Linked DNA regions of Ovis aries. The protein of the gene in region 1 interacts with the protein of each later gene in a biochemical or structural test. Links are inferred from orthologs where the notes say so. Each region holds a gene or a part of one and is shown on either strand. Other genes may lie near its edges.

Region 1 (12,709 bases):
AACAGTGAAAGTGAAGTCGCTCAGTCGTGTCCGACTCTTAGCGACCCCATGGACTGCAGCCCACCAGGCTCCTCCACAGACCTCCGCTAATTGCTCTCTGAAATTCATTGCCACACTTGCTCCAGGACCAGGCTTCCCCAGCCAATCACCGTGCGCAGCAGGAATGACGTCACCTCAGGTCAAGGACCCTCCCCTTCAGCCTTTCTTCCCTCCGCCCTCACTCAAGGTCAGGCTCAGATTGTGATTTGACACCTCTTTCAGCTTTTCCTGGCTCAATTCCTCCCCCACTTTTTTTTTCCCTCATAGACTTCTCCTCAGTAAAGTCATACACACAATCCTAACTTGGTATCTTCCTTCCAGAAGCCCTAGACTAACACCAACATTATTTATTCATTTGCCTATTTTTTCCCTTGCATTTGCCGCTCAAATACGTTGTGTTCCTCACGATTCTGTTCACAATTTCCCTTTTCCTTCCATCTTAGTAGAAACCTACAGCTTTCAGTACAGCTTGTATCTACCACAACCAAAATATGTGTCTTTTTACCAGAGTGTTCCTTTGGGCTGTATATTCATCTTTGCTAAATAGATATTTCCATCTGGCTCCATAGACTGCAGCCCGCCAGGCTTCCCTGTCCTTCACTACCTCCCAGAGCTTGCTCAAACTCATATCCATTGAGTCGGTGATGCCATCCAACCATCTCATCCTCTGTCATCCCCTTCTCCTCCTGCCTTTTATCTTTCCCAGAATCAGGGAACTCTTTTCCAAGGAGTTGGCTCTTTGCATCACTTGGTCGAAGTATCAGAACTTCAGCTTCCATGTAGATGTCTCAAAAACACAAATTTCAAAATTGTTGAAAACCAAATGTATCTTGTCTCTTAAAAGGATTCCTTAATCAGGTATAACAATCATAGTTCAGTGTGAAAGACAGACACACTGTCGGTCTGTCAGGCAGAAAGGGACTTAATACAGGAAACAGGTGCTTACAAAATTTTGGAGTAGCCGTGGACCTTCAACTAATTTATTTCATTCCAGTTTTACACCACCCGAGCTGCAGTCCACAGACGAGGAGACGCTGCTGGTCCTGTTATCTCTGATTCACAGAGAGGGTGACCTGATGCCTAAAGCTGGAGTCGCTTCAGTCGCTGGTGCCAGAGTTGGCAGCCTATAGATCCTGTCGGGCAGCTGCTATGGCCACAGGAAGGTGACTTCTGTCTCACCTTATGCTTTCCAAATCTCTTGAGAATATATCTAATTGGGAAAAACCAATTCACATACAGAATGCAGGCTGCAAGGAAATCTGAGCCACATAGACTTCAGCTTGCTGAAGTCTGAATTGGTGGATGTTTAAATGGAGACTGAGAGAGCCAATCCATGTGTGTACCAGATAAACGGCACCAACATCTACCCATTCCCTGAAGGCAAAAGTGGAGGTCATGGAAGATTGCTTTCTCTTCCTCATTCTGTTCATGACTGATTAGTAGTCTCGCCTGCAGCAAAGCAAGTACTGGCTGACCTCAGGCCTTCACAGACTCTTCTGTGGGCTGCTGCCATAGTATCTTGGGATTCCCACGTGGCGTTAGTGGTAAAGAACCTGCCTGTCAGTGCAAGAGACTTAAGAGACGCGGGTTCAGTCCCTGGGTGGGGACGATCCCTTGGAGGAGTGCATGGCAGCCCACTCCAGTATTCTTGCCTGGAGAATCCCATGGACAGAGGAGCCTGGCAGGCTATGGTCCATAGGGTGGCAAAGAGTCGGACATGACTGAAGCAACTTAGCACACACACACACACACACAATAGTAGTTTTCTGTATTCAGGAAGTAAGTGGAGTAAGCAACACTGAATTTTTTTCTAGTCAGAAATTTCAGAAAGTTTACATACTAATGTATACTCTGCAATTTCAAGAAGGCAATGAGTTCTTAGTTCTTTCCAAAATTCTATGACTTTTTTTTCTGTGGTAGGAATAACAGTAACATCTAAAAATAGTGGTCTATGTAGCACAGTTTGATAAATACTTCTCTTTAGCAATGTTTCATATTTATTGTTACAAAATGTAAAACAAGGACTATGCTCAGAGGAGAAATATATTATGATTAACTCAATTTAGTGTGTACTTAGAAAAAAGACATCTGCAATAAATTTTCAAAAATACCACTAATGGCTCTAGTATTTCTTTTGGCTTCTACAAAACTAAACTCTGTCACACAATTAAAATTCCTCCTTGAGATGACAAAAATCTTTCCAGCATGATTAACCATATAATCAAGGTTTTATAAAATCTACATCAAGTAACTCAATTTGAGATTTTAAATGTACATGGTTTTCTGGGATTTCAATGTGATTAAAATGCCTATAAATTAAATCTTTTTTTTTTTTTTGGTGAAAAGCCAAAATAAACAGAGTTTTATCTTCAATACTAATTTTATCTATTATATAATTATATATATAATATGCCTGTTAATAATTTTACAACATAATGATGACTCTGCAGTCACAAATACGGGCAAAGCGCATTATAAGCAGGGAGAATTGAGTAGGCTCATGACATTGACTCTTGACTGCAATGAGGTTTCCATGAAGGAGAATAGTGACAAGTGAGCTTTTTAAGGAGAAAAAAGAAGAGTTAGACACACTGACAGAAATGAAGGTATTTTACAAGTGATTTCATGTAGGGATTTTTGAGAAAGATGGACAAGTCAAAGATATTCTGAATTTTCAGCCTTAGGAAATGGAACAACCATGTCACCAGGAGAAGTAGGGAGCGTAAAGTCAAGGGCTGACTCAGGAAGTGTATATAGAGTTGGATATTTATGCTTAAACGTTTCAAGAGATGTTTTCCCTATTGCTTGCTTATTAGGTATTTCACCACTCACACAAATCCAAAATGGGAGAAGGAAAGAATTTTCAGGTAATTCGGATATGCTGCTTGTAAATAGGTGCATGTGTGTGTGCTTCATCGCTCCACCGTGTCCAGCTCTTTGCGACCTCATGGACTGTAGCCTGCCAGGCTCCTCTGTCCATGGGGATTCTCCAGGCAAGAATACTGGAGTGGGTTGCCATTCCTTTGTCCAGGGGATCTTCCTCATCCGGGAATCGAACCTGCATCTCCTACCTTGCAGGCAGATTCTTTACTGTCTGAGCCACCAGGGAAGCCCAAAATAAGTTTCAAAATCAAGGCAATTAATGCTAGCTGCTGTGATAGGTAACACCAATATTTTGGCAGCTTAATACAGTAATAATTATTGCTTGCTTTTATCAAGGTTCAGTGCAGTTGGCGGGCCAGGGCATGGAGGGAGCTGGAGATGTGAGTTGTGTTCTGTGCAGTCATTCAGAGACCAGGGTCCTTCATGATATGGTTCTAACATCTATAACATGAAGCTTCAAAGACATTCTAGAGTCATCCATGAGGAGATCAGAGGGAAAACGTGTAGAATCTTACAAAAGAGACAACACCACTCTCACTTCTACCCACATTCCATTAGTCAGGATTCGGCCCCACGCAATCTCAGTGATAGATGAAAGATGTTAATTTCACTCAGTGCTCAGGAATCATACTTACCGTTGCCTCTGTCACCAAAGGGAAAGAAGATAAAGCCCTTACCCAAGTAACTGAAGACTTCAACTTTGAAATAAGTATTTTTTTATTGTCCCTTATTATCAATAGACACAAACTCTACAGAGATAAAACCAAAGGTAGTCATGGCAAGAAAATGTACTATATAAAATTTCATAACGTGGAGTTTAAATTTGAAAAGTAACTTCCTCACAATCTTTCAAAACATTCAGAAATTCTGATGTATAACTAGCATTCACTCATCTTGGCTTGAATAAAGTTACCAAGGAATGCGTGAGTTGTATTTAGAAGCCTTCAGTTAATGAAGCAGGTTTGTTGTTTAGTCATAAGTTGCGCCTAACTCTTTTGCAACCCCATGTGTTGGAGCCCACCAGGCTCCTCTGTCCACGTGCTTTCCCAGGCAAGAATACTGGAGCGAGTTGCCATTTCCTCCTCCAGGGGATCTTCCCTACCCGGGGATCGAACCCACGTCTCCTGCCTTGGCAGGCAGATTCCTTGCCATCTGAGCCACTTGGGGAGCCCCAAAGTGGGACACAGAGAAAGCCAAAGGCTGCCTCTTCCTCTGTTTTATCAAGATTGGACCTACAGCTATTGTCTAAACTCCACACCAAAAATAATGCTGAGTTCTTGTTATCACTCTTGTAGTTAGGATCGATTGTCCGTGAGAACAAAGGGATGGCATAGCAGACAAGGCAAATATCAGAAGAGACGTGCCACCTGTCCTGTCCAGGTGCGTGCTTGCCTGTTATGTCCTTGTTGTTTAGCTGCATCTGACTCTTTGAAACCCCATGGACTCCTCCATGCACCAGGCTCCCCTGTCCACGGGATGTCCCAGGCAAGGATACTGGAGTGAGTTGCCATTTCCTTCTCCAGGGGATCTTCCTGACGCAGGGATCGAACCTGTGTCTCCTGCACTGGCAGGCAGATTCTTTACCACTGAGCCACCTGGGACACTCCAATGAAGTAGATAGATTGTTTTCAAAAAAAAAAAAAAAAACAAAAAACACCTGAATTCCAAATTCTCCACACCTTAGCCAACACTTGTTATCTTTTCTTTTTTGGATAACAGCCATCCTGACAGGTGGAGAAGGTAATGGCACCCCACTCCAGTACTCTTGCCTGGAAAACCCCATGGACAGAGGAGCCTGGTGGGCTGCAATCCATGGGGTTGCTAAGAGTCGGACACGACTGAAGCGACTTAGCAGCAGCAACGGCAGCATCCTGACAGGCGTGAGGTGATACTTCAGCGCCGTTTTGCTCTGCGTTTGCCTTATGATGAGTGTTGCTGAGCACCTTTTCTTATATCTGATAGCGATTTCTAGGTCTTCTTGGGAGAAATGTCTGTTCGAGCCCTTTGCCTATTTTTCAATCAGGTTATTTAGCTTTTTTGCTACTCAGTTACATATTTTGTGTATTAACCCCAAATCAGATAGATGGTTTGCAAATATCTCCCATTTTATAGATCGTCTTTTTGCACTGTTGATTATTTCCTTTGCTGTTCAGGAACTTTTCAGTTTGATGTAATCTCGCTTGTCTCTTTTTGGTTTTGTTACCTATAATTTGGCTGTCAATTACAAGAAATCATTGCCAAGACCGCTGCCAAGGAACTGCTGCCTAAAGGGTGTAAACTTTCAGTTATGCAGGATGAAGAAGTTTTAGAGATCTGCTGTATAACACAATGCTTATAGTTAATAGTATAAATTGTGCACTTTAAAATATATTATGTAGAGCTCACATTACGTGTTATCACACACCTAAAAAGAAAACACAAAAGAGTACAAGGAAATTTTTGGAGGTGATGAATATGCTGAGTACCTTGACTGTGATGTATCATGGAGATACATGCTCATTTTAATGAGTCCAAACTCATTAAAATGGATGCCTTAAATATGTGTAAGTTTTGTATTTCAATTACACCTTAATAATGCTTTAAAAACCTGAGTGTTGCCTAGCTATTGATCTTTTTCTTTCTGAGTTCAAAGTAATCATTGTTTACATTAATACTATATGGTTTTTAAATGTCATAAATGAAAACAAAACTTTTCCAGCTATGATACAAAGAAATTCTGCAATGGAGAAATAGCTGATCTTAGTGCATAAGAAATTAACTCCTTCTGAGCCCTGGTATAAACTGTGACTGCCTGTCTAGTCCTTGCACCCACAGCATAGTCTCCTGCATTATTAAACATTCTGTGTGTCAGCTGTCTCAAACTGAAGCGTGACTGCCTTTCTTCTCAATTCAGATAAATTGAGAAGGTAAATAAATTCAATGTCCTGGTCAAAAAAGCAGTGTATCTCTTCTCTTTTTTCATTTTTATTGGAGTCAGGTTTTTTTTTGTTTTTTTTTTTTTTTAACAATGTTGGGTTTTTTTGGTGTTTCTTTTCTTTTTTTTTTTTTTTTGCTGTGCAGCAAAGCAAATCAGACATGTATACATATACCCCCTCTTTTTCGTATTTCCTTCCCATTTTGGTTACCATAGAGCATTAGGGAGCGTTCCCTGTGGGGGGGTGGGGAAAGGCAGTGCATCTAACTCAGGAACACACACACACCCCTCCTTTAAGCAGGATAAATCTGGGTGCCTCAGGAAGGCTTGTTGTGATCTCAGATGTCCTCTGGGAACCAAGTTGCTTTCCTTGAGAACTTGCAGGGGAAATTTAGCCTCTCACATCCTGCTGGCTGCCTGACTCCACAGGCTTCTGCCTCTGAATTGGGGTTGCCTGCAGTTTGTGTCTCTGGACCATCGCGGGTGTCTCACAGACCCCACTGGACTCGGATTGGTCAGAAGGAAGCAGAGGAGGAGTCACTCTGAGCATTTTTTTTTTTTTTTCCCTTCACACACCATAAAAATCAGCAGCAGCTTCTGGCACTCAAAGCAAAGCTTCAGGTTCGGAACCGGCACCTCTGCGAGGCAGCTGATGAGAGCATGCGCACACAGAGCCGGCTCCCAGCCGTAGCGCAGCCACCAGGCAAATCATTCTGCAAAGACCTGCATGCCTCCGACTCAAGTTGAAGTGGAAGGGAGAACAAAAAAGCCAGCGGCAGGCTCGACGGAGAAGGAGTATCTTGCAGCCTAGGATTTCCAAGTGATGCCGACCAGAGCCGCACCTGAAAGAGACTGAAAACTTCCTCTCCAGCTCCGGAGCTCGGGACGTTTATTCACAGCAGGCATGCCACTGTCGGCCACCTAACTTTCGTTTGGGGCAAGTCAAGACTGGAGAAAGGCGCTGAGGCTGCCGGACCCGGGAGGTTCAGTCAGTCCAGAGGGGACCTGAATCCAAGATGAACTCCACCCAGCCCCATGGAATGCACACCTCTCTCCACTCCTGGAACCGCAGCGGCCACGGGCTGCCCACCAATGTCAGTGAGTCCCCGGCAAAAGGCTACTCGGACGGGGGGTGCTATGAGCAGCTCTTTGTCTCTCCCGAGGTGTTTGTGACTCTGGGGGTCATCAGCTTGTTGGAGAATATTCTGGTGATTGTGGCCATCGCCAAGAATAAGAATCTGCACTCACCCATGTACTTTTTCATCTGCAGCCTGGCTGTGGCTGACATGTTGGTGAGCGTTTCCAACGGGTCCGAAACCATTGTCATCACCCTGCTGAACAGCACAGACACGGACGCGCAGAGCTTCACGGTGAATATTGACAACGTCATCGACTCGGTGATCTGCAGCTCCTTGCTCGCCTCCATCTGCAGCTTGCTGTCGATCGCGGTGGACAGGTACTTCACCATCTTCTATGCGCTCCAGTACCATAGCATCATGACGGTGCGGCGGGTGGCGATCACCATCAGTGCCATCTGGGCGGCCTGCACGGTGTCGGGCGTCTTGTTCATCATTTACTCAGACAGCAGCGCTGTCATCATCTGCCTCATCACCGTGTTCTTCACCATGCTGGCTCTCATGGCGTCTCTCTACGTCCACATGTTCCTCATGGCCAGGCTCCACATTAAGAGGATCGCGGTCCTGCCAGGCACCGGCGCCATCCGCCAGGGCGCCAACATGAAGGGGGCGATCACGCTGACCATCCTGATCGGGGTCTTTGTTGTCTGCTGGGCCCCCTTCTTCCTGCACCTGATATTCTACATCTCCTGCCCCCAGAACCCCTACTGCGTGTGCTTCATGTCTCACTTTAACCTGTATCTCATCCTGATCATGTGTAATTCTGTCATCGACCCTCTGATCTACGCCCTGCGGAGCCAGGAACTGAGGAAAACCTTCAAAGAGATCATTTGCTGCTCTCCTCTAGGTGGCCTCTGTGATTTGTCTAGCAGATATTAAATGGGGACAAACTGCGGTGCCAAACACAAGCTTAAGAGACCTTCTCCTTCTCATGTGTACAATCTGAACAGTCTGTATGAGCCACAGCTTTTTCTTCTGTGTAGGGCATGGAGTGAAAAATTCTCTTGTATCAGTTGAAGTTTGTGATTTTTTTCTGATGTGAAGCAGTGCCCAGTCTTGCTGTATTTTTAATATCATGCTACTTTCTGGCTGTAAAATGTGAATCCTCATCACAGGTTATAGGCACTATGGATTTATAAAAAGAAAAAGAAACAAAGTCCTTATGAGGAGTTTAACAGTGTTTCCTTCTTGTGATTTACAAGGGTGTGACAGTTTGCTTGTTTTTGTAACATGGAAATCACAGCTTCCTTAAGTATATTCTCATGAGTGGATTTAATGTTATACTTTACAACACTGGAGTATAAAATTTGATTCTAGTATTTAGGGGAGAAATATTGAGAACATATTGCTTAATCATAAAAAAAAAAACCAAGCTGAAATTTCAGGTAATTTAATAAGACTTGCTCATTCATTCTTCCTGTGCCGAAGTTGAAATGAAACTTCTACTGGGACAAAAACGGTGACTTTAAAACAAAAAAAAAAAAAAAAGGAGGGGGGATATTTTGAGTCAGAAAACTCTGTGTGTTTCTCAGAGACAGAGAGATTAATTTGCTCAAGCAAAGAGACTGATATTTCTCACAGGCAATTCAGTTTGGGATTAAAAAAAAAATAGCAGCTATGAGGATCCAAGTGTTCTGGGAAATCTAAATTAACAAGGCAAGCTAAGCTTCCTGATATCAAACTGTGTACAACTGTCCCTAATAAAGACAGAGAACAAGGTCTTCCTGCCCCTTTAACCAGGGCCCCAGAGCCTGCTGAAATGTCTAGAACAGGTGATGCCCCACTGAGATCCGGCTTCTGCTCCCTAAAGAACTACACAATTCATGCTGAGTTCTTTCACTTTCCACATGCAAGTGACTTACTATTTCCCTATTACTTATTTTTTGAACTGGACTTTACGTACTCATTAGCAAGGATTTTAGCTTTGAAGACTAAATCTATAGCATAAGGATTTTAGGCAATATTTGTAAAAATCTAAAAGAAGGGAACTCTTGGTGCTAGAATGTTATAAATACGGAAAAAAACCTGACCTGAACCCCAGAGGACATCATGACATAAACTAGCCTTCCACAACTATATTTTAGAGAGAAATACTTGCTTTGCTCCAAAATAATGCCACAGATTTGTCTACTGAACAATAAAATCTGTACTTTCCAATTTGCATGTATTTTGAGAAATGTACCAGTGAATTATCTTTTGATTTACTTTAGAGTCTCCTCAGATGCTCATGAGAAGAGAAAACATGACAAGGTACTGCTTAATTCAAATTTCTAAATGTTTTGCATATTGACAGCAAGTCCTGAGAAGCACTGTCAGTACTGATGAGGAAACACTACTTTAAAATGTAACAGTAAGATTAAAGCTTACACATGAAAGCTGATACTGAAGCCTGATTCACTGCCATGCCTCTATTTTGACATAGAAATGTGCGAGGCTTTAAATTATATTTAAAGAGACCCCACGTTGTGGCAGGACACGGTAGGTGTTTCTGTCTTTGCTACTCTTCCTGTCCATTCTTTCACGTGATTGCGAGCAACCCCGGAAACTGGAGACATGGGGGAGAGCTAGAGGCACCCCACCTTCTGCGGGGGCTGTCCTTCCAGTCCCCTCTGCTTCTCCAGCAGGGGTCATTTCAGACGCTGCCCGGTCCACTGAGGACCAGCCCACTTCTGCCACTGACAGGAAATCAGCCTCCTGTATCTTGCCTCCAGCACTTCCTCCTGGAGCAGTTTACAGGGATGGGGGGAGTCTTAGTCAAGAGCCGTGTGCCCAGCCCCCCTCCCCTACACGCCCAGGGCCCAGTATCAGGCTTCTGTTTCTTTAAGTGCTAAGACCATGCCTTTCTCATTTTTTCCTGTTCTCCAAACATTCCTCTGTGACGTTTCTTCTTCTTTCTCCAGTAAAACCAAGATTCTCCCAAAGGGATACATCATTATCACTCAAAGTCCATAGATTACATTAGGGTTCATTCTCAAGTGTTGTATATTCCATGTGCTTTGGCAGACAATGTCAGTGGCAATTGTTTCACTGCCTGAAGAATCCTCTGTGTTCCACCTGTTCCCCCCTCTTTTCCTCCTACCTGCTGGCTACCTGTGACCTTTTTACTGTTGCAATAGTTTTGCCTTTTCCAGAATGTCCTATAGTTGTGACCATACACTATATAACCTTCAGACTGGCTTCTTTCACTGGATAATATGCATTTAAGAGTGCTTCAGATATGTTTATGGTTTGGTAGCTGATTTCTTTTTGGTATTGAATAGTACTTAGTTGTATGACTGTCATATAGTTTATCTGTTTGCCTACTGAAGAACATCTTGGTTGCTTCCAGATTTTGGCAACTGTGAATAAAGCTGCTACAAACACTTGTGTGTGGACATAAGTCTTTATTTTACACCAAGGAGCAGGAATGAACCTTTAAAAAGCTTCAGTATAAATACTGTGATATATGTGTTGATCCTTTAATATTTTGCTAAGGGGGGTTACTTAGCATTTACCAATGCTGGTCAGGAGTATATACTCCAAATGTAAATAGTGAGCAGCGTCAGATACCTTTATTGAAATTTTCACCAGAAAATTCAATGAAGTATAAATCCTATTAGAAATAATTTTTCATTAGTGATAGAAGTGATTTTCAAGACATTGATTTAAAAAGTCAAATAACAATTGCCGTAACTTGCATGAACAAGGTTTTTATCTTGCACTTTTGTTCACCTGGCAGGTACCAACCATGACTCTGGGCTACGAATAGTCATTACCTACTTCAGAAAAAAAACTCTTTCTGGCCCAAACTAAATATTTTGAAATTACTAAAACATTTCTGAAAAATTATTTAATAACATGTAAATAAGTACCGACTTCTGTTTTGTGTTACAAGGGAAAGGGAAGTCGCTCAGTCATGTCTGACTCTTGGCGACCCCATGGACTGCAGCCTACCAGGCTCCTCCGAGGAATACACAAAAAAGAATATTTACTATGATACCAACTATCTAAAGTTCCACCAATATACATACATACCTCCTGTATATTACTTCCAATAACTCATGAGCAATCAGTAGTCATTATTCTTGGGCAATAATATGAAGGAGCTTGTTTACTTTCTTTACGGAGGGTGTTTCTATTGTGTAAATTTGCTACAATGAACATATTTTGATTATTAGTTTTTTAGAAGTACACATAAGCATTCCAACAAAAAGGTGCTGATGACAGTGTAATCGCCAAATTACCAGTGATTTGTGGAGCGAGAGTAGATAGAAGAGAAGTTAGTTTTGAGCCAGAACAGATATTAGATACCATCTCACCTAACCCTCTAAGACCCAGAGAGACTGTCTGACCTCGCCTGTGAAATCACTGGCAGCATCAAAACTTAAGAGCCAGTTCCCGACTCTGGATTTTCCTGCATCAAATTGTACGAGCCTCCTTTTGTAGACAGTACAGTTTCCTCAATCACATAACCTATGGCTGAATTATGGTTACATCACTTTTTAGCTGTGAGATTGTGTTGGGTTAGCTTTCTCATTGTTAATGTGCAAAATAATACCTGTCTTTTCAAAGGAGAAAAGACAATTATCAGATCAAAGATTAAAGCTCAACACAACAGTGCCCAATAAATATAGGCACTCAAAAACAGTGATTATTAGTACTTTTAGGAATACCAAGTATACGAACAAATTCATGGATGAATGAAGACCTGTCGGTTTTGCTCTCTCTCAGCATTATTAGAAAATACACATATGCCTTGGGCTTAATCATATGTTTTCGTAAACTATCTTTGAGGAACTCCCCTGGTGGTACAGGGGTTAAATTCCAGGCACCTAATGCAGGGAGCCCAGGTTCGATTCCTAGTCAGGGAACTGGATCCCACATGCTGAAACTAAGACCCAATGCAGCCAAATAATCTTTTTTAATTTATTTTAAATTTTATAGTTTTCTTGAATTTGACAGAATTTGGGGGGGGTATAAATGGGCATATTTAAACATAGAGAATACACAGGCATACCTGTATTTTTAAAAGCTAATTTTTTATCCTTAGTAGTACTAATTGTTTTAAAATTTGCAGGGCCACATTCAATACTGGAAAAGGCTAAATAGAAAGATAATATTCTAAGCATGAAATAACCAATCAGCCCATTTCTTCAAAGATTAATTGGTTAAACTTTATGCCATCAATCTGTGTTAGTAGAATAACATTATCTAAACTGATATTGTTGATATTAAATGTAAACCCTTTAAAAAGAATCATAAGTGATTAAGTTATAGTCACATCTTTTTTTTAAGTATAGTCACATCTTGACGCTCAGTTATCAGTTTATCATGCATTGATCCAAGCGTATGCTTGCATATAAAACGAGCACACAGCATCTGGACTAGGGGAACACTGGGTTCAAATTTCATTTACCAGCTCCAGAACTTTGAGCAAGTTTCCTGAGCATCTATAGTCCAAACAGTGAAATGAAGATAATACCCATCGTCTCATCATATGTGTGGGTGCTAAGACACTTCAGTCGTTTCCAACTCTTTGCGACCCTATGGACTGTAGCCTGCCAGGCTCCTCTGTCCATGGGATTCTCCAAGAGAGAATACTGGAGTGGGCTGCCATGCCCTCCTCCAGGGAATCCAGAGACCCAGGGATCAAACCTGTGTCTCTGCCATCTCTCACGTCTCCTGTACTGGCAGGGGGGTTCTTTACCACTAGCGTCCCCTGGGAAGCCCCATCTCATAGTTAACGACAAGTACATAA
Region 2 (12,707 bases), on another chromosome or scaffold:
GAAGCCCTTGCTGACTCCCTCTAGCCAGCAGAGCAAGTCACTTCCTGATGCATGTTTGGGAGGCCTGAGGCTCTGTGGAAGCAGTCTAGCTCCCCTAAGGCATGCTGAAGAGGTCACATGGCTAGACTGCATGGAGATAGATATGTCTGAGGATCCCCAGCTCTCCTTGCCCCCAGCTGAGTCTTCCCAGTCAGGAACCAGCTACATGAGTGAGTGGCTTCAGATGACTTGTAGAAGCCAGGCTTTGAGCTGCCCAAGCTGATGCCAAGTAGAGCAGGGATGTGTAGGCCCTGCCAAACCTTGGCCATACTGCAGATTTGTGAGCGAAATAAATGTTGTTTAAAGCCATCACATTGGACTTCCTTGGAGGTTCAGTGATTAAGACTCTGCACTTCCAATGCAGGGCATGTGGGTTCAGTCCCTGGTTAGGGAAGGTCCCACATGCCATGTGGCCAAAATGTTAAAACCAAATAAATAAAATTGGGTCTCAGCAAAAACAAACAAACAAACAAAAAAACCATCAAGTTTTGAGGGTAGGTTATGATATAGTATTAAATAGCCAGAACAAATATTATTAACACTCTGGTATCTTTTCACTTTTTCTCTATTTCTATTTCTCTCTATTTATAGTCATTCCCTCCATTTCTGTGGACAATTGGTTTCAGAACCCCCTTAGATACCAAAATCCACAGATGTTTGCGTTCCACAGTCAGCTTCCCCTATCTGCAGTCCCACCGCCATTGTCTAACCACGATCACGTAGGACAGTCGCACATATTTACTTAAAAAAATAGGAGTATAAGCGGACCCGTGCAGCACAAGGGTCAACTGTATATTCATGTTTTATCATGTTTCCTCCCCTCAACATACAGTGGTTATTTTTTATGTCTAAACATCTACTTTATTTTGAGTAACTGCAAAATACTCCATTGCATAGCTTTACCATAATTTTTATAAGTATACTCTACTGTTTTTATAATTACACCCTAGATGTTTAGTGTATTTCATTGCTACTATGAACAATATTGTGTGAATAGTCTTAGACAGCATTTAAAGGATAACTGTAAGATATTTCCTCAGGAAATTTTGGGTTAAAAGGTAAAGACTTTGGTACAGAATCGCTCATCTTCCCATGGCTTTTCTTACAAGTCTCCTGTGTCTATATCTCCTCCTTTTTTGGAAGAGGAAAGCATTCCACTGCTGGGAAGCCAGGTTCTTCGTCTGAACCTCACTCTACTTAAGACTTGGATCATTTGGTTTTTCTGACTCTCATCTGCAGCATCAGTTTTCCCTTCTCGACTCTATTATTCCCATCAGCATGCAACCATGTCCTAGTAACTCTCTGCCATCTTTATCCTACGTTCTATATTAGATTTCTAGAAAGAGTCTTTTTTTAAAGCCAGGATCAAAAGTAGAAGTAGTTAAATTCACAAGATTAATGGGGAGACTTAAAAAACATATATATATTAGTAACTAATTAAGATGATAAATAATCAGAAAGAATATAGGTATAGAAAGGATATAGAATATTTGAGAAATCATATAATACATATTCTTTTGAAGTTTACATAAAGCATTAATCAAAATGGGCCATATGTTCATCCATTAAGCAGTTCCCCCGATTTCAAGGGACTAGAAGCAAAGTATGTTCTTTGACCACAGAGGAATTATGCTAAAATGTAGTTTCAAAACAGATCTAAAAAACCCCCAGTGTTTGAAAGTTAAACAGAGCACTTCTCAATAACCTACAGGTCAATTAAGATATTTCAATGAAAACAAAATATTTTAAACCAAATGGTAATAAAAATATGATATATCAAAACTTGTGAGATGCAACTGGAGCTATACTTAGAAATTTATAGCCATAAATACACAGGTCAAAAAGAATAAAAGTTGAGTATCAATTATCTAAGTAAAAGCATTTATTTATAATATCCAACTCAAGAGAATAGAAAGAGTAGTTAATTAGAAATTAGAAGATAAGAAATTATAATAAAAGTGGAAATTTTAAAAATAAAAAAGTAAATGTAACAGAATATCATCACCATTGAAATTCATTCTTTAAAAATACTAATAAAATTGTAAGCCCCTAATAAAATAAATAAAAAAGAGAGAGGATCTATTAATAAATTATCAGTATCAGAGATAAAAGAGGACCATAGAGATTCCATAGATCCTAAGATGATAATAAGAAGATATAATAAAAATTTCAAGCCAAAATATTTTAAAAATTTAAGTGAAATGGACAAATACCTAGAAGTACTAAACTTACACAAAGAGAAATAGACAATTGGAATAGTGTTATTTAAGTAATTGAATCTGTAGTTTAAAGCCACTCAACAAACAAGCAACCTTAAAGACCTAGATCCAAAACAAATGTTTCAGATAACATTTAAGGAAGAGATAAACACCATTGTATACAAACTCTTCTATTAAATTAGAAAAAATGGGAGTCAGTGGAGGGATTTCCAACTTGTTTTAGAAAGACAGCAAAATTTTGACACCAAAACCTAACAGGAATCTTACAAGAAAGGAAAATTATAGGTTGAGCTCATAAACATAGATGCAAAAATATTAGATAAAATATTAATAAACTGAACCCAATGCTACATAATGGTAGCACATCATAATCAAATTGGGCTCATAGAATAGGAATGCATGGTAGGTGCAACACTAAAAATCAACAATGTAATTTACCACATTATCGGGGAAGAGAGGGATAAATCATATTATCATCTCAGACAATCAGAAGCACCTGCTCTAGGCTTTCAAAGAGAAGCTAGTGATACAACGAAGCAAGGGCGGTGACATCCTTTCTGTGACATCAGTCAAAATGGGAATGGCAAGCGCCCAATCTGGACTTAGAAGTGTCATCTGTGTCCAATGCCTGACTTTGTGGCCTCTTGTTCCCAGAAGTGGTCTGTTTGTCTTTCTCATTGGATCCGACCAGTGGCCATGATTCCAGACACCCTTTTTCTCTGCCCAGTTTTGGATCCTGGTTGCCCAGCTTTCCCAGTGATTCTAAATGTGATTCAATAGTCTGTGAGTTTACATCCCCTAAAGTTGGTTCTGCTGCACCTAACTAAGAACCCAACTGACAGAGCAGGACAGAAGCTGGGTCAATCTGAACTTTTCCCAGTCTGGCTCTTTTGCTACCATCAGCTGCCTCTTAAAGTTATAAAAATAGTACAGAGAAAAATGAGGATCTCTGATTGAGAGGGCTCATAAGCCTGGCAGTGGCAGGGGTGGGGCAGGAGTGGCTGGAAGAGGAAAGATGGAAAACAGAGTGAATTTGTTCCAGCTGTGCAAGCTACATATACAGATAAGATGAGTGTGGGCTTCTCTGGAAAAGAGATGATCATGTTTCATGTCTTGGAAGGACAATTGACCAAGGAGATCTTCAGGGAACTGGTGATGATGGATAAGCTAAATCTTAATGCAAGAGTCTAATTTTCCCAGGTGGTTGGAAGGAGAAAGGGTGTTTTAGGAAGGAATAGCATAGACAAAGAGGTGAGGCCTTGAGAAAATAGTGTTTATGGGAATGTGAATGCTGTGAATGGTCAAAGTGCCAGGAAACAAGATAGAGAGGGAAGAGATGCCCTGGAAAGAAGCCAAGGCCAGGTAATAATACCTTATTTAACTATTAAGGAGCGTGAATCTCTCCTGACTCCAAAGAAAAGGATTGCTGAGTATAAAGCCAGTGTTGCCAACCAGAAATTCTCAAGGGTGTCCTGAAGTCCAAAAGAGCATCTGGGAATAAAGAAATTTCTTGCAAATGACACATTAAGCAAGAACCTTTTTGAAGTCCAGTTTAGTTCCAGCACTCCTGTTCACCCCCACTGCTTCCCACAATTTGCTTTTGCTTCTTTACTCCAGGTTAAGGTAGAGACTCCTCCATTGCAGTTTTGAGTGCCATTCTTTCCTCCTTGGCTTGACAGTAGGGCCCTCCAATTTGTAACAGAGGGATTGTAAGGACTCCTGACATTTTCTCATCACAGTTTCCAAACGTTGGGGAAAATCAGAGGCATCACAGACGCACTCCCTGGGTGGTGATATTTACCTCCAAATGAGAAAAAGGCAGATGCCAGCCCAAGCAGGCACACAGGTAACTTCGCCCTCTCGTTAATGATCTCAGCCGGCCGGCCAGGCCAGCCCCATACCGGGGTGCTAAGCCTCCCGCTCACCGAAACTGGAGACCCAAAACCATCCTTAATTAAGTTCTTTCCTGACGGCTGCCAGGTGTGCCCTTCAGCAAGAGAGTGTTAATTCCAGCCTCCGGGGGACAGAGATCCAGACCCCTTTCCAGGCACGTCTGCTCTCCAGCTCAGCCGCTACCTGGAAACCCCCTCCCGCGCCCCCACGCCCCCGCCCCTTCCTATGGACGGGGGAGTTGCCTGTTACGTTACAGCTGCCGGGAAGTCCACTCAACGTCTAGCGCCCACCCGGGCGGGCCCCGCAAGTATATAAAGACCGCGGAGAGCGAGTGGGACAAGACGGCGCAACGGAGGAGAACGAAAGGAAGAAAAGTGACCGAGAGGCCGCTGAACATCCTCGCCCCGGCGCAGCGGGAGCCGCCCGAGGCAGCTTCCCCGTGACAGGTAAGGGCGCAGCGGCGGGGAACTTCAATCTTATCCCCGGATCCCCTGCTCCGGGGGCCTCGGGATGCTGTCGCCCAGCTCCGATCTCAGAGGCATCTTTTGTCTCGGCGCCGTCCTGAATTCTTTGAAAACTTTCTGTGCTGAGCGCGGCGTGGGAAGCCGCTGGTAGCGGAGCGGCGAGGACCGGCCTCTCTGGACGGCCGGAGAGCCGCAGCGACGCTGAAAGTGGTGCCTTTCAGCAGCTGGCGGCCGCGTCTGTCCTGGGCAGAGGAACTCCTGAGGAGTCCTATCCGTATTCTGGGGAGATTCCAGGAGACCCAGTCTTTTGGGACTTCTGATTTGCCGGGTAGGTGTCACTTCTTAAAAGATACGGTATACCCTAGCGTAAATTGATGTTGGAAACGGGGGCAAAAGAGAAGAGGCTAAAAGTGACAACAAACTCCCTGCGTTCAGACTTCTTTGAATTCAGACTTCTGAAACTTCGTTTCCCTGCCCACCTTAGCGCCCCCGACGTGGCTGCGCTTAGAGAATGACACCGTCTGCTCTATATGAGCTGCTGGTGTTAAAAAGAGGTGGCCCCGATGGGAACTGTCCACGGTCCTGAACCACCCCGTCTCTGCTCTCAATAGGACCGCAGAACGGACCTCCAATCCCGCAGACCTTAGAGAGCAGGGCAGCAGCAGCAGCCGTAGGAGGCGGTGGAAGCTCAGGCAAGATGCAGGCTCAGGCAAGGTGGGTTCCCAGTGAGGGAGGGAGAGTCTGCAGAGCATTTGGATCCCCCAAATTCTTCCTGTATAAATGGGGAGCTGGTGGTTCTCACAGAAGTGCTGGAAGAAGCACTTGTTTGTGTTGAGATCTACAGATCACGGCTTATTTAATGATGTAATACTCCTTTGACATTGTTTTAGGACTTGATGGGTGTGTATCATGGTATCAGGACAAAACTCTGCATCTCTGTTCCTCTAATCTCTTACAGACTGGCATGGCCAGTGTGCAATATTAGAGGGCCAATTTTAGAGGGGGGTGGGGGACAGAAGGACTGGGAGTGTGGGATTAGCAGAGGCAAACTATTATATATAGGGTGGATTAAACAACAAGGTCCTCAGTATCATCCGATAAACCATAATGGAAAAGAATATTAAAAATGAAATTAAATAAAACAAAATATGTTTTCTTTAGCTCATAGAGAATTCACCAACACATATGAATTCCTAATTAGTGTAGTTCTATTATAAAGTTAATGTCAAGATTAGCAAATTACAAGTTTATATTCATTTTTCCAAGCTTTCAATTATTCAACACTCCTTACAAAAAGCACATTTGACATCTACCTATTATTTTATTGCTTTAAAAACATGCAATGTAATATTTGTTTATTGTAGAAAAATACAAAATATACATGAGCAGAAAGAAGATAAGTTGCTTTCAGGAAGCTACCTAGTTTTTTAGCAGGAGATTGCAGCTCTGAGACGTGGTGAGTGAGGATGTTATCATGTTGTATTATATAGCCCATGGGGCAAGAGAGGAAACACTGTCTGAGACTTTTCAGGAAGGTCTGATATCATGAGGTAGGTTTTTAGAAAATGGAAGTCATCTCAGACTGGCCAACTTTGAGAAGAATTGAAATATAGTTGAGGGGATTGTCAGATCTGTATGACTTTACTTTCTTCTCTACTAAGATGCTATTTTACACTTGTCCATAGTATATAAGGCCTTCCTACGTGGCACTAGTGGTTTAAAAAAAAAAAACAAACCCAATTGCCAATGCAGGAGATGCAGGAGCCTTGGGTTGGATCCCTGGATTGGTAAGATTCCCTGGAGGAGGGCATGGCAACCCACTCTAGTTATTCTTTCCTGGAGAATTCTATAGACAGAGGAGCCTGAGGGGCTACAGTCCATGAGTTTGCAAAAGAGTTGGACACAACTTAGTGGCTAAACAATAACAACAACATAGTAACATAAAACTACCACTTTTCTGCTTCTCTTTTAAACTTGGGCATTTTTTTCTGACCAAAATGTGCTGTGTGGTCTCAGAGATTTAACACAATTTACCTTGTCCATCAAATTCAGGCTTTGTACTTGAACTGGAGCACCAAAAGTCTACAACAGGAGCATCCTGTCCTCGGTCACAACTGGACACCAGGTTGACCAATGTTCTCCTAGTTACCCTGTGATGCAGATAGGCCAGCTCACTGGCTACCAGCACCATCTAATGGCTGCTCTGAAAACACTCGGGCTGCGCTTGGCAACCATTCAGAAGGGAGCCCTTTCGGCTCAGCTTTTGGGAAAAGGAGTGGGGTGGGCCAGAGAGAAGGAAGTGGCTTCCTGAAGCAGACAATGAGAGGCAGGGGAAATTTCACTTCCAAAGCTGTCTCTATAAAAAAGATTTGGCTCATGCCTTCACAGATAGGAGATTCCTTTGGGCAAATATTTTTAAATCAGAAGAGACAATTAGTCATCTACACCTTAATATAAATTTCTTATTAGATTTCTTCCATAATGGCTGGGTTGAAAAGATCTAAAATCTAGAATGACTGTGGAGTGCATGGTAACAGAGCTTAGGGTCATTTTGGAGGGGAGACCTCTGTGAGGGGTGGCAGGGCAGTATGAAAGCTAAAGGGATGGGGAAAATGTTGGGCACAGTGGGCAAAAGGCAGCATTGATTCTCCCTTTTACTGCATCTGGATCTCTTTAATTAAGCATCTGCCCAGTGGTGCTTCCTGATTTCTCTAAGAAAGTGTCTTTGGCAGGAGTTCATGATGTGATGTAGTTCCCTTCTGCTCTGTGTGATCATGTCCTTCCTTTCCACACCAACAGCATCTTCAGGTCCAGCTATTTCAGACTACATTTGAGAGACTCAGAGAACAAGAGGAAGTCTGATGTATATTGCACTCAGGAGATGAACTTGTTTCAAATGGGGATCTACTTTAAAAATAAATCTCCAAAGTCACAGGGGTCTGGGAAATAGTGATTCCCTGAGTGACTTATGTACAGGACATCAAACTAGGTTGGCTGAGGTTTTGGCTTGGTTGGACAGTTTCATTTGCCATTATGCAAACCTACTAGTCATAGGAATTGGAGTTCCTGAGGAATGATAGAATCCTGGTGGAGAGGAGTAGACCACCTCGAGGAGGAGTTTCACAGTCCTTTGTCTTTCCCAAGTTACTCCTTGAATCTGGAGTGTTAGAACTTTAGTTTCCTGAAGATGGGGAAATAGAAAAGCTCAGTGACGGAAACAAGAGAACTTGGCCATACCTCATTGTGAAAAACCCAAGTCATTTGTCTCACTCTGTCTCAGTTTCCTCATCTCTCAAATAAGGGGCCATACCAAACGACCCCCAAAATAGCTTCCAGCCCTAACATCCTTTGGTGTCTGATTTTTAATAGAAGATAAAGGGAAAATTGTGCAGTTTACCCAGGTCCCACTGCCCTCTTTATTACAACTCACACGACCACCCTGCACACCAACCTGCTCCTTGAGCTGCTCTTGTCCTCAAAAAGCCTCGAGCTCCACAAATGAGAGTATTGTTAATGTTGGCTCATGGTCCTTCCTGATGAGTGGCCAACATTGTTCTGCTCCTTGCAGGGGTCCCACTCATCTTGTTTGCCTCTGCAGAGCCTCAGCCTGCCTGGAAGATGCCGAGACTGTGCAGCAGTCGTTCGGGCGCCCTGCTGCTGGTCTTGCTGCTTCAGGCCTCCATGGAAGTGCGTGGTTGGTGCCTGGAGAGCAGCCAGTGTCAGGACCTCACCACGGAAAGTAACCTGCTGGTACGTGGGCTGTGGCCGCCATCTTGATTTGGGTATCAAATGGTACTGGGGTGGGGACAGCACAAAGAAAGGAGCATGCAAAAGGGGAGATTCATTTCCAGAGATATGGCTAACTCAATCAAGGGCAGGAATAGACCTCTAGGGCGAAGTAAGAATTGGGCCAAGGAAGGGAGGAAGCAACTTCAGGGAGATGGGTCTGGTCCATAATGTCTTCTCGATTTTCTTTACTTCCTGCCCTGTCTTCTTGTATAGAGAGCCACTCTTTTTAAACTATTTAGAGATAGTGCTATTAAAATAAACAACACTAATGATAGTAATAACCATAATTGCTCCCTCGACTGACCCTACCTATTCTTTCAATCTTTTAGCCTTCAAATTATTCCTTTTTAGATGACCTCATATCACCTTCCATTTCCATTCCATTTTTCTTTCCTTATATCTGCTACCAGTTACAAAGTCAGGAAGATAATACCACAAACCAGCTCTAGAAGGAAAAACTCAGGTGCCATTTTCCACTAACTGGTGCCAAATGCCTCCTGCTTCTCGAGGACTGACCTTCTGCAGCCTTTCCATAGCATCTCAAAGCCCTTTGTGCCAGGCTGGAACTCCCTGTAGGTCACCATAGCTTGCGTGTGTATTTGTTATTATTTATTTGTATTGGGAAGTATAAATGAGGAACAATACCAGCTCAAGGCTACAAGAAACACTTCTGGTGGCCATGACTGAGTTCCAACCTACTGCCTGTACCTGCCTGGCGAGGGTGGAATGCACACCACTACATTCTGTGTGTTTTGTCAGCAGAGAAGCTGAGTTAAGGTGGAGAAAGACTTTCTCAAAAACAGAGCAGGTTGCACGTAGAATATAAAATAGAAGTAAAGAGCCCAGGAATCCCATGAGCTCTGTTTCCGAGAGACCCAAGACACTCTTGATTAGAGACACCCACTGCACAGTCTTTCCTGTTGAGAGCTCACCAGGGAAGCAGCACTGGCGGTGGTCAGAGTCTGTGGGTTCTAGTCCCAGTCCCAGTTCTGTCAATGGGCGGTGGAACCTTACCAAGTTCCCTTCTCCTCTCTGAGAAATTGTGTATCATTATATGTCCAGGGGAGAGAAGTATGAGATAATTTGTTTCTCACTGTTACTATTCTGCAGTGTTATAATTCTAAATTTCTGGAGTATGAAGTTCCCAGCTCAACAGAGTGGGTGGGATCCTTCTTTTTCCTCCTTTGTTGTCCCGAGTATCTGAAAACTCAAGGCTACAGCCTCAAGATCATTTTCCTAAGCAAATGTGTGCCACAATTGTCTAGTCACAGAAAGCAGACAGGGCTCCACGTACAGGACTCCATGACCCCTGCGATGGAAATAATCCTGACTTCCTATCCTTCCATCCAGTTAGAAAGGCACAGGGAAGTGAGTCGCCCCCTCCCTAAGCTCACTGATTGAGGAAAAGACAGGATCAGCTTGGAAGACCTGAAAGAACCAGAGAAAGTGCCAGATGGGTGTGGGCAAGTTTGGAGGGAGATGGCTAGGGGAGGGCATGAGGTATGTTTACAGACCACTGGGGTACGGCTGACACATTGAAACTACAGACCCTGGAAGCCAGATTTCTCCCAAATTTCAACCCAATGCCCTTCCCAGACTCAAACTGAACCATATTTATTTCCTCAATATTCATTAAGTGCCAACAACTCCCACCCACCTGCCATTTATTGATGAATTCCTATATATCTGGCTTATAAAGTTTAGGACGTTTACCCTACCCACAAAGTGAAGTTGCTCAGTCGTGTCCGACTCTTTGCGACCCCATGAACTGTAGCCTACCAGGCTCCTCCGTCCATGGGATTTTCCAGGCAAGAGTACTGGAGTGGGTTGCCATTTCCTTCTCCAGGGGATCTGCCCGACCCAGGGGTCGGGCCCGGGTCTCCCGCGTTGGCAGACGCTTTACCGTCTGAGCCATGTCACTCTAAAGCAGAGATGGGGACTTCCCTGGTGGTTCAGTGGTTAAGAATCCACCTGCCAATGCAGGGAAGAGGGGCTCCATCCCTGGTCTGGGAAGATCCCACATGCGGACAAGCGACTAAGCCCATGAGCCACGACTACTGAATAGACTACCCACAAAGCTACAATGCAAGTACACCAGAAAGTGGGACGGGGATTTTGTTGTAGCTGCCGGGCAGGGGTACCAGGAGCCCAGGGGACAAAAAAGGCGCTGTCCGAGCTGAGTCTCAGACGTCTGAGGAAGCTCAGAGGTGGGAGTGGTAGATATGCTCTGCAGTTAGCCCAGTAGGCCCAAGCTCCCAAGCGCCCAGTGGGCGACCCCGCACGTGCGGAGGGAGTGGGGGGCGCAGGCGGCTAGCGTGAGCGGCGGGGGAACGCCTGGAATGGGTGGGGCCTGACGCGCTCGCCGCTCTCCCGTAGGCGTGCATCCGGGCCTGCAAGCCCGACCTCTCGGCCGAGACGCCGGTGTTCCCCGGCAACGGCGATGAGCAGCCGCTGACTGAGAACCCCCGGAAGTACGTCATGGGCCATTTCCGCTGGGACCGCTTCGGCCGTCGGAATGGTAGCAGCAGCTTCGGAGCTGGGGGCGCGGCCCAGAAGCGCGAGGAGGAAGTGGCGGTGGGCGAAGGCCCCGGGCCCCGCGGCGATGGCGCCGAGACGGGTCCGCGAGAGGACAAGCGTTCTTACTCCATGGAACACTTCCGCTGGGGCAAGCCGGTGGGCAAGAAGCGGCGCCCGGTGAAGGTGTACCCCAACGGCGCCGAGGACGAGTCGGCCCAGGCCTTTCCCCTCGAATTCAAGAGGGAGCTGACCGGGGAGAGGCTCGAGCAGGCGCGCGGCCCCGAGGCCCAGGCTGAGAGCGCGGCCGCCCGGGCTGAGCTGGAGTATGGTCTGGTGGCAGAGGCTGAGGCGGCCGAGAAGAAGGACTCGGGGCCCTATAAGATGGAACACTTCCGCTGGGGCAGCCCGCCCAAGGACAAGCGCTACGGCGGGTTCATGACCTCGGAGAAGAGCCAAACGCCCCTTGTCACGCTGTTCAAAAACGCCATCATCAAGAACGCCCACAAGAAGGGCCAGTGAGGGCGCAGCGGGCAGGGGCCTCTCTCCGCGGAAGGTTGACCCCGAAGGCCTCTCTTCTGTCCTCCTGTCGCCTCGCAGCCCGGGTGAGGACTTGCCCAGGCAGTGATGGCGCCAGGTATCCCGACTCTTAAAGCTGTCTGTAGTTAAGAAATAAAACCTTTCAAGTTTCACGAATATTGACTGGGTGAATTAAAAATGCATTTCCATCAAGTAAAGGGCAGCACGTATTGGAGGGGCTATAGTGGTTTCCATGTGACTACGTGTTAGTATGTTTAACAGGATATACTGAGAATCAAAGGAAAGTGTACTTCCTTCCCGCCCCTAGCAAATGGGTCTACTAGGGTCAAATAAGGTGATGGCTCAGTGTGCTGCGTTTCCCACTCTCCATCGAGTGCGGAAAGACTGATCAGTCAGCTGGTGATTCCTCTAAAAGACAGGATTCCTCCTGTTACCCTGGTTCCCACCTAAGTCCAAGAGCCAGTGGGACACAGATGAGCCCCCAGTGGAACTAGGAGGTCTCTGGGCTCCCAGGTGGGATGCTGTGGTTAATGCCTATGTGGATCTAGCAGTCTGTGAGAACTTGGGCAAGTCTCTGAACGTCTCCAAAGTTTAGTTCTCTCATTCCTTCCTATTATGAGTGCTATGTGATGGTTAATGAGAAACTGGAGAGGTCATCATCACTGAGAGGCTAAGTGTGAGACCTGAGGGTTGGTATGGTTCAGATTTGACTGCTCTCCCAGGCTACCCTCAGACACTGTCAAACACAGGGTCTCACCCACATAGACATATACCCATGGAGACACATCTGTAGAAATACAGTATGCACAGATGCTTCTTCCAGCCTCTGGGGCTCAAGATTGAAGTCTGTCTTGACCTGCTCGTGTCATGCCCGAGTTCTCTCCTCCCCAGGTTACCCAGTGTCAGCCTTCTCTTCATGCTCAGTGCTCTCACTCAGGCCTCAAGTAGCCTAATAGCTTCCTAACCAACTGGTATCCTGGCCTCCAGTTGCTTTTTCCCCAATCCATTGTACGAATTCTCAATATTAATGTATATGTACAAAATCTTGCTTTTGCCACGTTAGTTGGCTCAAGATACAATCACCCCACCCCGACTCTTCCATCAGTTCCAAACAACTGGGCATGACACATACAAGGGCCCTTCTCTGTCAGTTTCACTCCTTACCAAACTCCACTTCCCTGGTTTTATCACTTCTTCCATCCTTCTCCATCCTCTGCCTGGAATTCTCCACCATTCCCCTCTATTTTGA

Evidence for each region.
Region 2: the proteins of MC4R (region 1) and POMC form a complex in vitro, tested with the Homo sapiens proteins (2 studies listed by BioGRID). The link is inferred for Ovis aries from reciprocal best matches to the Homo sapiens genes MC4R and POMC.

Annotation. Positions count from the first base shown.
Region 1 is NC_056076.1:59,475,102-59,487,810, reverse strand, and holds MC4R (melanocortin receptor 4), read left to right. Parts: upstream 1-6,465; 5' UTR 6,466-6,852; coding exon 6,853-7,851; 3' UTR 7,852-10,334; downstream 10,335-12,709.
Region 2 is NC_056056.1:32,601,117-32,613,823, reverse strand, and holds POMC (pro-opiomelanocortin), read left to right. Parts: upstream 1-4,489; 5' UTR 4,490-4,597; intron 4,598-8,183; 5' UTR 8,184-8,233; coding exon 8,234-8,365; intron 8,366-10,780; coding exon 10,781-11,440; 3' UTR 11,441-11,614; downstream 11,615-12,707.